Linked DNA regions of Arabidopsis thaliana. The protein of the gene in region 1 interacts with the protein of each later gene in a pairwise test. Each region holds a gene or a part of one and is shown in the gene's direction. Other genes may lie near its edges.

Region 1 (4,442 bases):
AATACCGTGATTGATATTAATACTTAGCATTTGGTATCTGTTGGGTCGTATAATTGATCATGGGTTGTCTGAGCATGGAAGTAGGATTATAGGGTAGATATGAAGAACGTCATTCTAACGTAAATTATTATTGCTACACTTTTAAAACCAAAATATACGACAGCTTTAATTCTTCCTACCAATTAATAACGACGACGAAAATATACGATTACGGCTGGACATTGGGCTTCCAAAAACGATTTTGAAAAAAAAAAAAAAAACAGAAAGAAATGTCATATACCTAATTTATTTGACCGATGACTTTCACATTATCTGGTCACCATTCACAAAATTTGACACAGTACTTGCATGTCGCTTACAAGAAAAATTAGCCTGCTGATGTTAGAGGAATACAGATAGATACAATTCTGCCTTGACCCTCTCCTGGAGGCGCAAAGTTCATGACAATAAGTAAATCATATATTATACATTTTAATTTTCTCCTTTCTAAGTTCTTAAAAAAGTATGACATCCCCTACTTTGCCTACTTCCTTAATTTCACAAAAATAAAAGTATGACATACTTAATTAGAACATATCTTTTGTTTAGTATTTTACTAGTAATTTTAATAGTACGTACGCTATATAGAACGAACTAATCACCCCTGAACTGAATTCCAAACTAAATCAATTGGTTGCATGTGTGTACGTACAGAAACTCATATAATTCTCAAGTTCAATTCTGTGATAATCATGTGACTTATTAGCTTCAGTTGTTATATTCTGTATCCTAATTTATTTATTTATTTTTTAACATTTATTTGGGTTATATATAGAAAAAGAGATGTACTATTTGCATGTATATAGAGAGAGGCGCATGTGTAGATAATTATAGATAATATGAAATCGTAAGAGTAGTGGAGATGGAGACAAACCCGTGATTGTCGTTGGTGACAGAAACAAGTAGTAATATTTTCTTCTCGTGTCTTTCAGTGAAGACAGCCCAGCCAAGCACCTTTTAACTTCTGTCTGATTCCTCTCTCTATGCTCTTTCTCTGTCTATCTATCTAATTATGCTTTTGGGTTTCTTCTTTTTCTGGTTTCACAGCTTTGGCTTTGAAGTCACGAGCCCATCCCCCTAACCATCCCCTTTTATGCTTTGCTTTTCTAGTCAATTTAATTCATGAGTTGTAACGATGGAAGAAGTTTCATTTATCTAATTAATGTGTATGCCTCATTAATGTTGCCTTCTTCCTATATTGCTAAAAGCTAGTTCGAATGAAACAAAAACACGTACCAAATCCAATGAAAAACATAGATCTTCAGTTGGTTTTGAAAGAAAGAACAAAAAAAATTGTTAATGTACATGTCATATTGAACCCTGATTTATGTCATAAAATTGGTATACGTACGGGTTGATATCATGAAAACGTTTGATCTTTTACCATGAAAATGATCATTATTTAGATAAATTCAATCTACTCCTTGGAATTTCTTTTCACTCCCTATCACAACGAGATTCAAAGATTAATTGTACTAATTGACTTAATAGTTATTAACTCATTTTAAAATACATCTTATGACTGAAGTTACTAATGTTTAATGAAATTAAAAGTACCATTTTTGTCATGAGGTGTAATTCTAGATCTATCTTTCCCTAAGATGTATATAACTGTAGAAAAAACCATTGGTGTAATAAAAAGCTATATATTAAATAGAATTTAGAATATCCGTTGCCATCATATACATATTTCAACATATATGTTGAGTTGGAGAGAGAGGGGGAGAAAAAGGAATGATGGATACAAGCATCCAAAAAGTCATACACATAGACCATCAAAAGTCTTCACCTTAAATTCCTAACACATATGTATGAGTGTGTGATCTTTGTTTGATCTTTGTCCAGAGAACTCCAAGATAGACCAAAAAGGTTCAACCTCAAAACAAACAACACAAAAACAGCCAAATAGCTAGAGACCAAGATGAGATCAAGCAGCCAAAATTCTGAAAACTCCAAGACTTGTCTATCTAACAACATCAAAGCAACCACCAAGAATGAAGAAGATAAAGATGAAGAGGATGATGAAGAAGGCGAAGAGGATGAAGAAGAGAGATCTGGAGATCAGAGCCCATCTAGCAATAGCTATGAGGAAGAGAGTGGGAGTCACCACCATGATCAGAACAAGAAGAATGGAGGATCCGTGAGGCCGTACAACCGCTCAAAGACTCCGAGGCTGCGATGGACGCCGGAGCTCCATATTTGCTTTCTTCAAGCTGTGGAGAGATTGGGTGGCCCAGATAGTTGAGTTTCAATTATATATATGAATCAATATCAAGATCATTGCATATGTGAAGATCTCTAAATTTCTAGGGTTTTCTTGTTGATATTTATTTGGGGTCTCTTTCAATGATTTTGTTGAAACAGGAGCAACACCGAAGCTTGTTCTCCAATTGATGAACGTCAAGGGGCTAAGTATTGCCCATGTTAAGAGTCATCTTCAGGTTTTGCAAATATCCACATACACATAGAGTATATATCTATATACATCATTGAGATCTTCATCTGAAATCATACTTCATTTTTTTTTCTTCTTAGATGTACAGAAGCAAGAAGACCGATGAGCCTAATGAAGGTAGTTTACTTAGCTTTCTTCTACCTTCTGATTTAAGTTAGGGCTTCTATAAATCTTATAATTGAATTCGACGAGAAATTGACTAATTCTTGTCTCTCGTGTTTTATCTTTTCTTATAACTACAGGAGATCAAGGATTTTCGTTTGAACACGGAGCTGGTTACACTTACAACCTTAGCCAACTTCCAATGCTACAAAGTTTTGATCAAAGGCCTTCTTCTAGTTTAGGGTATTTACAAACTCTTCAGCTAGCTATCTTTAAACTATAAGTTAAAATTACGTGTGTGTAACTTGGAATGTATTCAATAGATATGGTGGTGGTTCGTGGACTGACCACAGACGACAGATCTACCGTAGCCCTTGGAGAGGATTAACGACACGAGAAAATACAAGAACAAGACAAACAATGTTTAGCTCACAGCCTGGTGAGAGATATCACGGAGTTAGCAATAGTATTCTTAACGATAAGAACAAAACTATTTCATTTCGAATCAATTCTCATGAAGGGGTTCATGATAACAATGGAGTAGCTGGAGCTGTTCCAAGAATTCATAGAAGTTTTCTTGAAGGTATGAAAACGTTTAACAAATCATGGGGACAGAGCCTCTCTTCCAATCTTAAGTCCTCCACCGCAACAATACCACAAGATCATATTGCTACAACGCTAAATTCTTATCAATGGGAGAATGCTGGAGTGGCAGAAGGATCAGAGAATGTTTTGAAGAGGAAGAGGTTATTATTTTCTGATGACTGCAATAAGTCAGACCAAGATTTGGATCTAAGCTTGTCCCTTAAGGTACCTCGGACACACGACAATCTTGGAGAATGCTTGTTAGAAGATGAAGTAAAAGAACATGATGATCATCAAGATATCAAGAGTTTGTCTCTTTCGTTATCATCTTCAGGTTCATCAAAACTCGACCGAACCATTAGGAAAGAAGATCAAACTGATCACAAAAAGAGAAAGATTTCGGTCTTGGCAAGTCCCCTTGATCTCACTCTGTGAATATGTATAACAACTTATATACGTATATTCTAAGTGAGATCTTGTGGTACTTGTTGATGGAAGACGGTTCTGTATTGTTGTTTATCATTCGTTGCATACTTGTGACAAGACCCATAATTAAGGAAATAATAGAGACATTTTTTAATGTTTTTTATTAAAAAAAAATTCACATAATTTTGTCGAGATCGTTAAATGCATATTTTAAAATATATATGATTTGTGATCGAGTTGGGAGCAGAAATTTGTTTTCTTCTAAATAGTATAGTAACCAAGAAATACATTAGTGAGAGTCTATATATATGGTTTTGAGAGTTACAAGACATTGCACGTTGTCTATAAGCTTGTCTAGACGTTGCAATGTATATGTAGTTTACTCTCACATAACAAGTATCCTAAGCAATATTTTTGTTTTAACATGGAGATATTGTCTGAAAATTTATACGTTAACGTCAAATCAGTGAATACAAGAAAAGAAGATGAAGACTTCCGAGTCATAGCTTTCTGAGCTATAGCATTATTATTTTTATAAAGACGAGTTTTTGCCTTCTTCAAAATCGTTTTATAAATTATTCTATGTTTTAGATTTGTAGTTGAAATTATATGAAAGGTCCGTTAATTTAAAAATCAGGTCTGCTGAATGTTTTGTTTGTATTAAAAAAACAAAAAAAAAAAAACAAATCGGTTCTGATAACCAACCAAAGTTTATTTTAATTTAGTTGCGAGGTTAATTAAGAAAAAAAGAAGACACTTTCTTTAAGAGAAAATTGGAGAGAACGACAAGAAGACAGATGTACTTGACATAGAGATATGTCTTGATCTCCTCGAT
Region 2 (7,584 bases), on another chromosome or scaffold:
TCATACACCTTTTTGACCTCCAAGTAACCGATCACTGGAAGCAAAACAACATTAAACTTGAATGAGAATACAACCAAGTAAGGCCCTCCTCCTAATCAATCATCAGACATAACCAAACAACAAACAAGCTTACGGTGTTCACAAAGATGCCAATAAAATCTCTTTGGCATTTTCAAACAAAATACTAACACTTTAAGTTATAAATGAGAGCAGTGAACCAAAACGCAATTTAAGACGAATTCGTTTTGAAGGTTTGAAAATTCGCCAAACTGATAAAAGAACAAAATTTGAAGAATTTAAAACCTTCAGGATCTAGGGTTTGAAAGAATGGATCGATCTCTTTAGGCAAAGAAGAGAACTCTTTTAAGATTTTGACTCTGATCACAGCAACCCTCTTCCTCCAATCCGCCGGAATTCTCTTCCGATCCACCAACCATTCTTCAAATTCAACAAAATTGAAATCAAATGAAGACAATAATCACCAACGCAGATTCGAATCCAACGAAGAAAACGAAAAAAAAAAACCAAAGAGATATAAAAATTTAAAATTCCGTGTACTCGTAATTGATAGTTCTGCATTACCTCCGAGACGAGAGAAGGTGATATCGATTGGAAGATTTTGAACATCATCTTGTGACGGCATTTTCTTCCGGTTAACCTTTCACGCTTTCTGGGAAATTTTATCTCCGAAGTCTCACACAGTTTAACGTTTTGGAGTCTCAAGAGTTTGCTACAGAAGAACGCATAATTTCATTGGTCTCATCAAATATCTCGAATCCGGTTATTGAACTAACCGAACCAATTTACTCCGGTCCGCGGCAGATTAAATTGTTTATTGGTTTTATATGGGTTGGTTGGATGGTCCATTACCGCGGTTAACATAAACTGGTCTATCTAGTAACGTCGGTTTTACCTTTACGGATTAGTCTACAGATTTTAAACTTTTTTTTCTTTACAAGTTAAAACTATTTTGAGGAAATTATTTGTATGAATATTTTGTGAATGATGGGAAAGAAATCAAAATTAGTTTACCAGCTCAATTTGATCAAACCAATTAGCTTAACAAAAACAAAACCTAGACCATATTAGTGCCCATTCAAACAAAGTACAATGGAACAGTTAGAGATACAAACAAAATTCAATCAATATATTTGACAATCTAAGTTCATAAATCACATAATAATGACTTTTAACTTGTTTCATATAATGTCTAGTGTTTATAGATTGAATGTAAGAGCGGTTAATGGATCATTAAAAATCGAATAAAAAATCTTATAATAATAATATAGATGATGGAATTGAAAAGTATATCTTAAAGTAAAAATCTAATAGCTGAATAATATATATAGGAGAAATATAATAATAATAATTTAGAGAACAAACAAAAAATATTTATACAAGTTTGTTATCAGCAATGTGACTAGAGAGAAGGAAGAAGAAGAGAGAGGGGATGGAAAAGGACATGTTCTTGACCGCTTTATCAGAATATTTTTCTTGGTTTCATACAAAAATAAAAACAAAGTCGTCTTCTAATATTTTAAGGTAGAAGAAACTTATACAACAAAAATATCAGAAAATAAAAAGGAGTTTGTCTTTAGGTTCTTCTCTCCAATCTCTATTTTTCTCTCCAATATCCTTCTTAAGTTTTTGAACCCTCTCCACTTCAATATAACCGACCTCTCTTCTCTCTTCTGAAAAAAACACCAAAGGAGCTTTAAATGCTCCGTTACATAATCTCTATCTCTTTCCAAGAATATAGAGAAAGGAAAATAATATACAAGAATTAAAAGAAGGTATATCATCATCTCTCTAGCTAGTGATCAAAGCACCGTCATCATCATCATATATCATCAGCTTGCCTCAGAGGAGAAGACCAACATAAGAGAGATCGAAGATCAAAATCTATCTCTCTTCATCATCTTCTGCTGTTACTATCATATCACACGCTCTCTCAAACATCATCCTATATATAGACTTCTCTTCATCATCATCAAATGCAAGGTCATCACCAGAATCATCATCAACACTTATCATCATCCTCCGCCACGTCTTCCCATGGAAACTTCATGTAATTTTTACTCACTTAATAACTTTTTGAATTGATTGATGATCCCCATGTTTTTAATAAGAGAGCTTTAATTTATGTGTGCAGGAACAAAGATGGGTATGATATTGGAGAGATAGACCCATCACTCTTCCTCTATCTTGATGGACAAGGACATCATGATCCTCCATCAACTGCTCCTTCTCCTTTACATCATCATCACACAACTCGTATGCACTCTCTCTCTCTCTCTTTTCTTTCTTTTTTGGGAATTGGGGTTTGTTTTTTTGGTTTCAGCAGATAAGGAAGATTCCCTTTAGGTGTGTGAGAGAGAGAGAGAGTCACAGCAAAAGCATGCCAAACAGATTTCAATCTTTCTTCTGCCATCAGTACTCTATTCTTTCAGCTTTGACCAGATCCTCTCTCTTTTCAGACACCAAATCTTTCAAATCCATATATCTTACACTTCTTTAAACCCTTTTCTCTCTCTGTCCTTTTTCTTCTAATTAGAAGAACTAGTCCGCTCACATATTTATATACATGACTTGTTATAACTAGACCATTTCTCATACATATGGTCACATGACTCATCTTATGGCAGAGAATTTGGCGATGAGACCTCCAACATCGACGCTCAACATCTTTCCATCTCAGCCTATGCACATAGAGCCACCTCCTTCTTCTACACACAATGTAATAATTATTACTATTACTTTATAAATTTCTATATATATATGCCAATTTTAGTTGGTTTCTGTTTCTAATTTAATATAATGTCAGCGCAACTACTAGCCATTTCATATAATATCAAGTCAGACCAATTATTATACGTTTCTTATTTTTCTATTGAGTAGTGATTTGATTGTTTTTTGGTTGTTTTATATAATGTGTTTGGTAAGACCGATAATACAAGATTAGTTCCGGCTGCTCAACCTAGTGGTTCCACTCGACCAGCTTCTGACCCGTCCATGGACTTGACCAATCATTCTCAGTTTCATCAACCTCCTCAAGGTTCTAAATCCATCAAGGTCTCTATCCATTTATGTTTTTTTAATCATTTAATTGCTTTGTCGAACTATAACTCGAGTATAGATATAGACTTGTTGTGGTTGTTTTTAGAAGTTAATGGGTCATATCTAAATGTTATGGCAGAAGGAAGGGAACCGCAAGGGTCTTGCCTCATCGGACCATGACATACCTAAATCGTCAGACCCTAAAGTGAGTGTATATTCATACAACTGCAGAAAATTAATAAGATTCTTTTTTTTTTTTTTTTTTTTACTTTTCGGTTTTTGATAGTTTCTTTATTAATTTAATTCTCAACAGACATTGAGAAGACTAGCACAAAACAGAGAAGCAGCAAGAAAAAGCAGATTACGTAAAAAGGTCAGCATTCAATATTTGTAAGTTGCAAATATAGTTTTTATATCCAAATTTATTTATAACGTTATTTGCTTTGGTAAATTACGACAGGCTTATGTTCAGCAACTCGAGTCATGTAGGATCAAACTGACCCAACTAGAACAAGAGATTCAACGGGCCAGATCCCAAGTAAATATTTGAACCTGTCTTTTCATATATATTGTATTTAACCTAAAGTCTAAAATGTACCAATTTAATTTGATTTCCTATATATGTTTAGGGCGTATTCTTTGGAGGGTCTCTTATAGGAGGAGATCAACAGCAAGGTGGACTACCCATTGGCCCTGGCAACATCAGCTCTGGTACGTTAATAGTTTCATAAATGTGATGACTCAAAAACCGTAAAATTTGAAAACCGAGAGAATGAGATATTGAGTAAATGCAATGTGAAGCAGAAGCAGCGGTGTTCGATATGGAATATGCGAGGTGGCTGGAGGAGCAGCAGAGGCTATTAAACGAACTAAGGGTGGCAACACAAGAACACTTGTCCGAGAACGAGCTTAGGATGTTTGTGGACACATGTTTAGCTCATTATGACCATTTGATTAACCTCAAGGCTATGGTCGCTAAGACCGATGTCTTCCACCTCATTTCTGGAGCATGGAAAACTCCAGCTGAACGTTGCTTCTTGTGGATGGGTGGTTTCCGTCCATCGGAGATCATTAAGGTACATCTCGTCTTTTCTTATAGCCATATACATATATTTAGGTTTTTCGAGAGATATTTACTTATTCTATTCGAGCCACATCCCACACAATAATTAGTCATGATGATATTGTAAACTAATCAAATATGGATTAATAAATCTAAATTTTGGAATTTTACTTGAAGACTAATCATTTTAAATTTTATCTTAGAACCTAAAATATTCCAGGATACAATCATTAATACCATCAATTTTGTGGATTACTTGCAGAACATATACTAATAATGACTGAAATTGTGACATTGTTATTATTTATATCGTACATATATGTCCACAGAATATAGTACTTCCAACTTTATTTTATTATTTAGATTTTTTTTTTTAATTTAGTCTTTGATTCTCGTAAAAGAGGTACGATATAGTAATAATAGATAAGACAGACAAGAGATAGACTATATAGTGATATTGTTGGACGAGGTATATATATACATAACATTGCATGGGGTGACTCTAGATGTATAAAACCAACATATATACGTGAATGTCTTTATATTACGACAATAATAAAGGTACACGTAAAATTATTTTGAAAACAAATTAAGAATGCATGCAATTGTGTGTGATGGTGAAGTATCTCTAGAAATAGGTAGGTTTTGGCATAATGCAAAAGAAAGTGCCTGTCTGTTTTTTCGATTTATGGGATCCATAGGAGAGAGAGATAGACATAAACCACCATGGAATTCAACAGAGACGACCATAATAAACAAACCAAAAATAAATAATTGTTTAACATTTTTAGCACGCTCGTCAATTGGATGATTATCATTTTTTTTCTTTTCTAAAATGGTTACGTAAAGCCATTTTAATTAAACCTACTTTTTATTCTAAACAATATGAGTACCTACGATAGCCGATTAATAATACAAATTAATATATGGATGGTGTGCATATCTGACAAGACCTTTGGCAATGTCTCAATCTTATATCCTTTTTAGTGAAAATAAAAAGGAAAGAAGAGATTTTGGGTGTAGCTAGTAACTCGTGCAGAGTACATACACTACACACTTTAATGCATTCAACGTTCTTTATGCATCCATTAAGACCATTGTTAATTAATCCTCGATATCTCAACTTGTGTGTATTAATTAGAAACGCATGCATGCAGGTGATTGTGAACCAGATAGAACCATTGACGGAGCAACAGATAGTTGGGATATGTGGGCTGCAACAGTCCACACAAGAGGCCGAGGAGGCTCTCTCGCAAGGCCTCGAGGCGTTGAATCAATCACTTTCCGATAGCATTGTCTCTGACTCCCTCCCGCCTGCCTCCGCACCACTTCCTCCTCATCTATCCAATTTCATGTCACACATGTCCTTAGCTCTCAACAAGCTCTCTGCTCTCGAGGGCTTCGTTCTCCAGGTACCCTTATAACTCTTTCTTTTTAAGTTTATGTGCAATTATATATCAATATACCAATCTTTTATCTTTATATAAAAATATACCTATAGAGTTGATATACAAGTGGACCCCTAGAGGATATATGTGGTCCTAATCAGACTAGGAATACATATTCTGTTTCTTTGAACTACTCCTTATTAAACTCAACTATCATATACTTATATATTTCTATATTTGGCTGTTATAACACGCTATCTAAATTTATATAGATGTTTGTATATATGTGTGTGTCTGTTTTGTGTACAACTCATATATAGGTATAACGTCGGCCATAATTTGTTAGAGGACATTTGTAATATATTAAGTGTATATAGAATAAAAGTGGTTGATTTTAAAGAAGATGTCAAAACTAATTCGCAAACTTAATAATTATGCATTAACATGTATATGTATATGAAATGGAAAGTATTTGCCTCTTGATTCGGACATTATGCAAGTAGGTATCTAACAAACACTTCTCTTGTCTTATATCAACTTGGTCGGGTTGCTTTTCTTAGACGACCAAGTTTATTAATTTAATATTTATTTCTTAATCATTTACTAGTTTAGGACAGGCAAGTTTTTGAAACAAAGAAATATATATATCTGCTTGTGTATATTAATGTATAAGTCTATACTCTATATGCAAATGGACATTTCGGCTAATTAATTCTATACAAGATACATGCATATACAAGTTGGCATCTTTCAATGATTTCTTAATATAATTAGTTCTAAATTGTTCCTGTTCCGCCTATAAAAAAAGTTTTTGTGTTTCGCTACACGGTTAGTCGCTCACAATTTGGAGAAAGATCCAACTTTAAAATAGGTGGTAAATGTGGGGTTAGTTACTAAAAAGGGGTAATGAATTCAATTTTCTCTAAACGCACGTGACAATTGGCACCATGAAAGTATGTATTAAGTATACATATTCCAATATATGTAGTCCAAAAGAAAAATACATATATTATGTATCTATAATATATCACATCAAATAAAAACATGGAATGCTTGGAGCCCATATCGTTGCATGATGTCATGGACGTAACTGCCCAAGTATCCCATCCTCCGAAAACACTTCCTTGAGAATAATTCCTTTACTTACATTTGATTCTGCATTTTTTTGTCTACTTTTATATCATTGATAATAGGTTGATTATATATGTATGATTCTAATTAATGATCAAAAGTATCATGAAGCATGGCGTGGGACCGAGGGTATGGAATTCACGGTTTCACCTTTTTGACATGTTGGTGTCGTGTTCTTATTAGTGAATTACTAACAAGCTTTGATTTTTTGATCGATCAACATGTTGAATAATCGGCATTAGTCGTCAATCAACCACATAATTTCGGGTCATGCACAATCATTATAATGCTTAATTAGTCCTTTATCTGTTTTTTTCCTCTCTAGTTAGTCTTTAATACTTATATTTATGAGATTAATGATGGTCCAATTCGATTATTTGTCCTTAATTGGTCTTAGTCAATAACATGTGCACTACTTTGTCCATCTTTTGTTTTGCTTTTACTATTTCTCCATTTTCCCTATAACTCTTATTTAGTTTTGAACTAGCTAATACATTAGAAACTTACAGGCGGATAATTTGAGGCACCAAACGATCCATAGGCTGAACCAATTGTTGACGACCCGTCAAGAAGCACGGTGTCTTCTAGCCGTTGCGGAGTACTTCCACCGTCTTCAAGCTCTAAGTTCTCTCTGGCTAGCCCGTCCTCGGCAAGATGGATAATACTAAAACAACTGATGAAGGAAACCAAAAACAAAAACAAGAGAATAGGTTGATTAGTTAGCCGCCAGCTTGACCTCTTTATCATATATATCGTCTCTCTACTCAAATACAGTGCAATTAGGGAAAATTGTTTGGCTTCTTTTTGTTATATGATTCTTACTATTATGTTTTTAATCAAGATGCAGATTATATATATAGACAAGTATTCCATACCTTTTAATGAATTCTTCCTTATGCAAATTCAAGTGAAAAATTATACTTGATCTTCAATTCCAAACACAAG

The links. The genes of interacting proteins can lie anywhere in the genome.
Region 2: the proteins of AT2G40260 (region 1) and TGA10 interact in a two-hybrid assay, tested with the Arabidopsis thaliana proteins (one large-scale study listed by BioGRID).

What each region holds. Positions count from the first base shown.
Region 1 is NC_003071.7:16,815,992-16,820,433, reverse strand, and holds AT2G40260 (Homeodomain-like superfamily protein), read left to right. Parts: upstream 1-1,703; 5' UTR 1,704-1,960; coding exon 1,961-2,279; exon of another isoform or gene 2,280-2,403; coding exon 2,404-2,480; intron 2,481-2,574; coding exon 2,575-2,611; intron 2,612-2,736; coding exon 2,737-2,839; intron 2,840-2,919; coding exon 2,920-3,616; 3' UTR 3,617-3,904; downstream 3,905-4,442.
Region 2 is NC_003076.8:2,118,917-2,126,500, forward strand, and holds TGA10 (bZIP transcription factor family protein), read left to right. Parts: upstream 1-1,555; 5' UTR 1,556-1,994; coding exon 1,995-2,068; intron 2,069-2,152; coding exon 2,153-2,274; intron 2,275-2,645; coding exon 2,646-2,737; intron 2,738-2,943; coding exon 2,944-3,072; intron 3,073-3,196; coding exon 3,197-3,262; intron 3,263-3,370; coding exon 3,371-3,430; intron 3,431-3,517; coding exon 3,518-3,595; intron 3,596-3,686; coding exon 3,687-3,768; intron 3,769-3,858; coding exon of another isoform or gene 3,859-3,861; coding exon 3,862-4,133; intron 4,134-5,277; coding exon 5,278-5,532; intron 5,533-7,148; coding exon 7,149-7,301; 3' UTR 7,302-7,541; downstream 7,542-7,584. Other genes in the region: AT5G06830 (uncharacterized protein), read right to left, coding at 1-34, 304-438, 583-643. UniProt on the Arabidopsis thaliana protein: Together with TGA9, basic leucine-zipper transcription factor required for anther development, probably via the activation of SPL expression in anthers and via the regulation of genes with functions in early and middle tapetal development.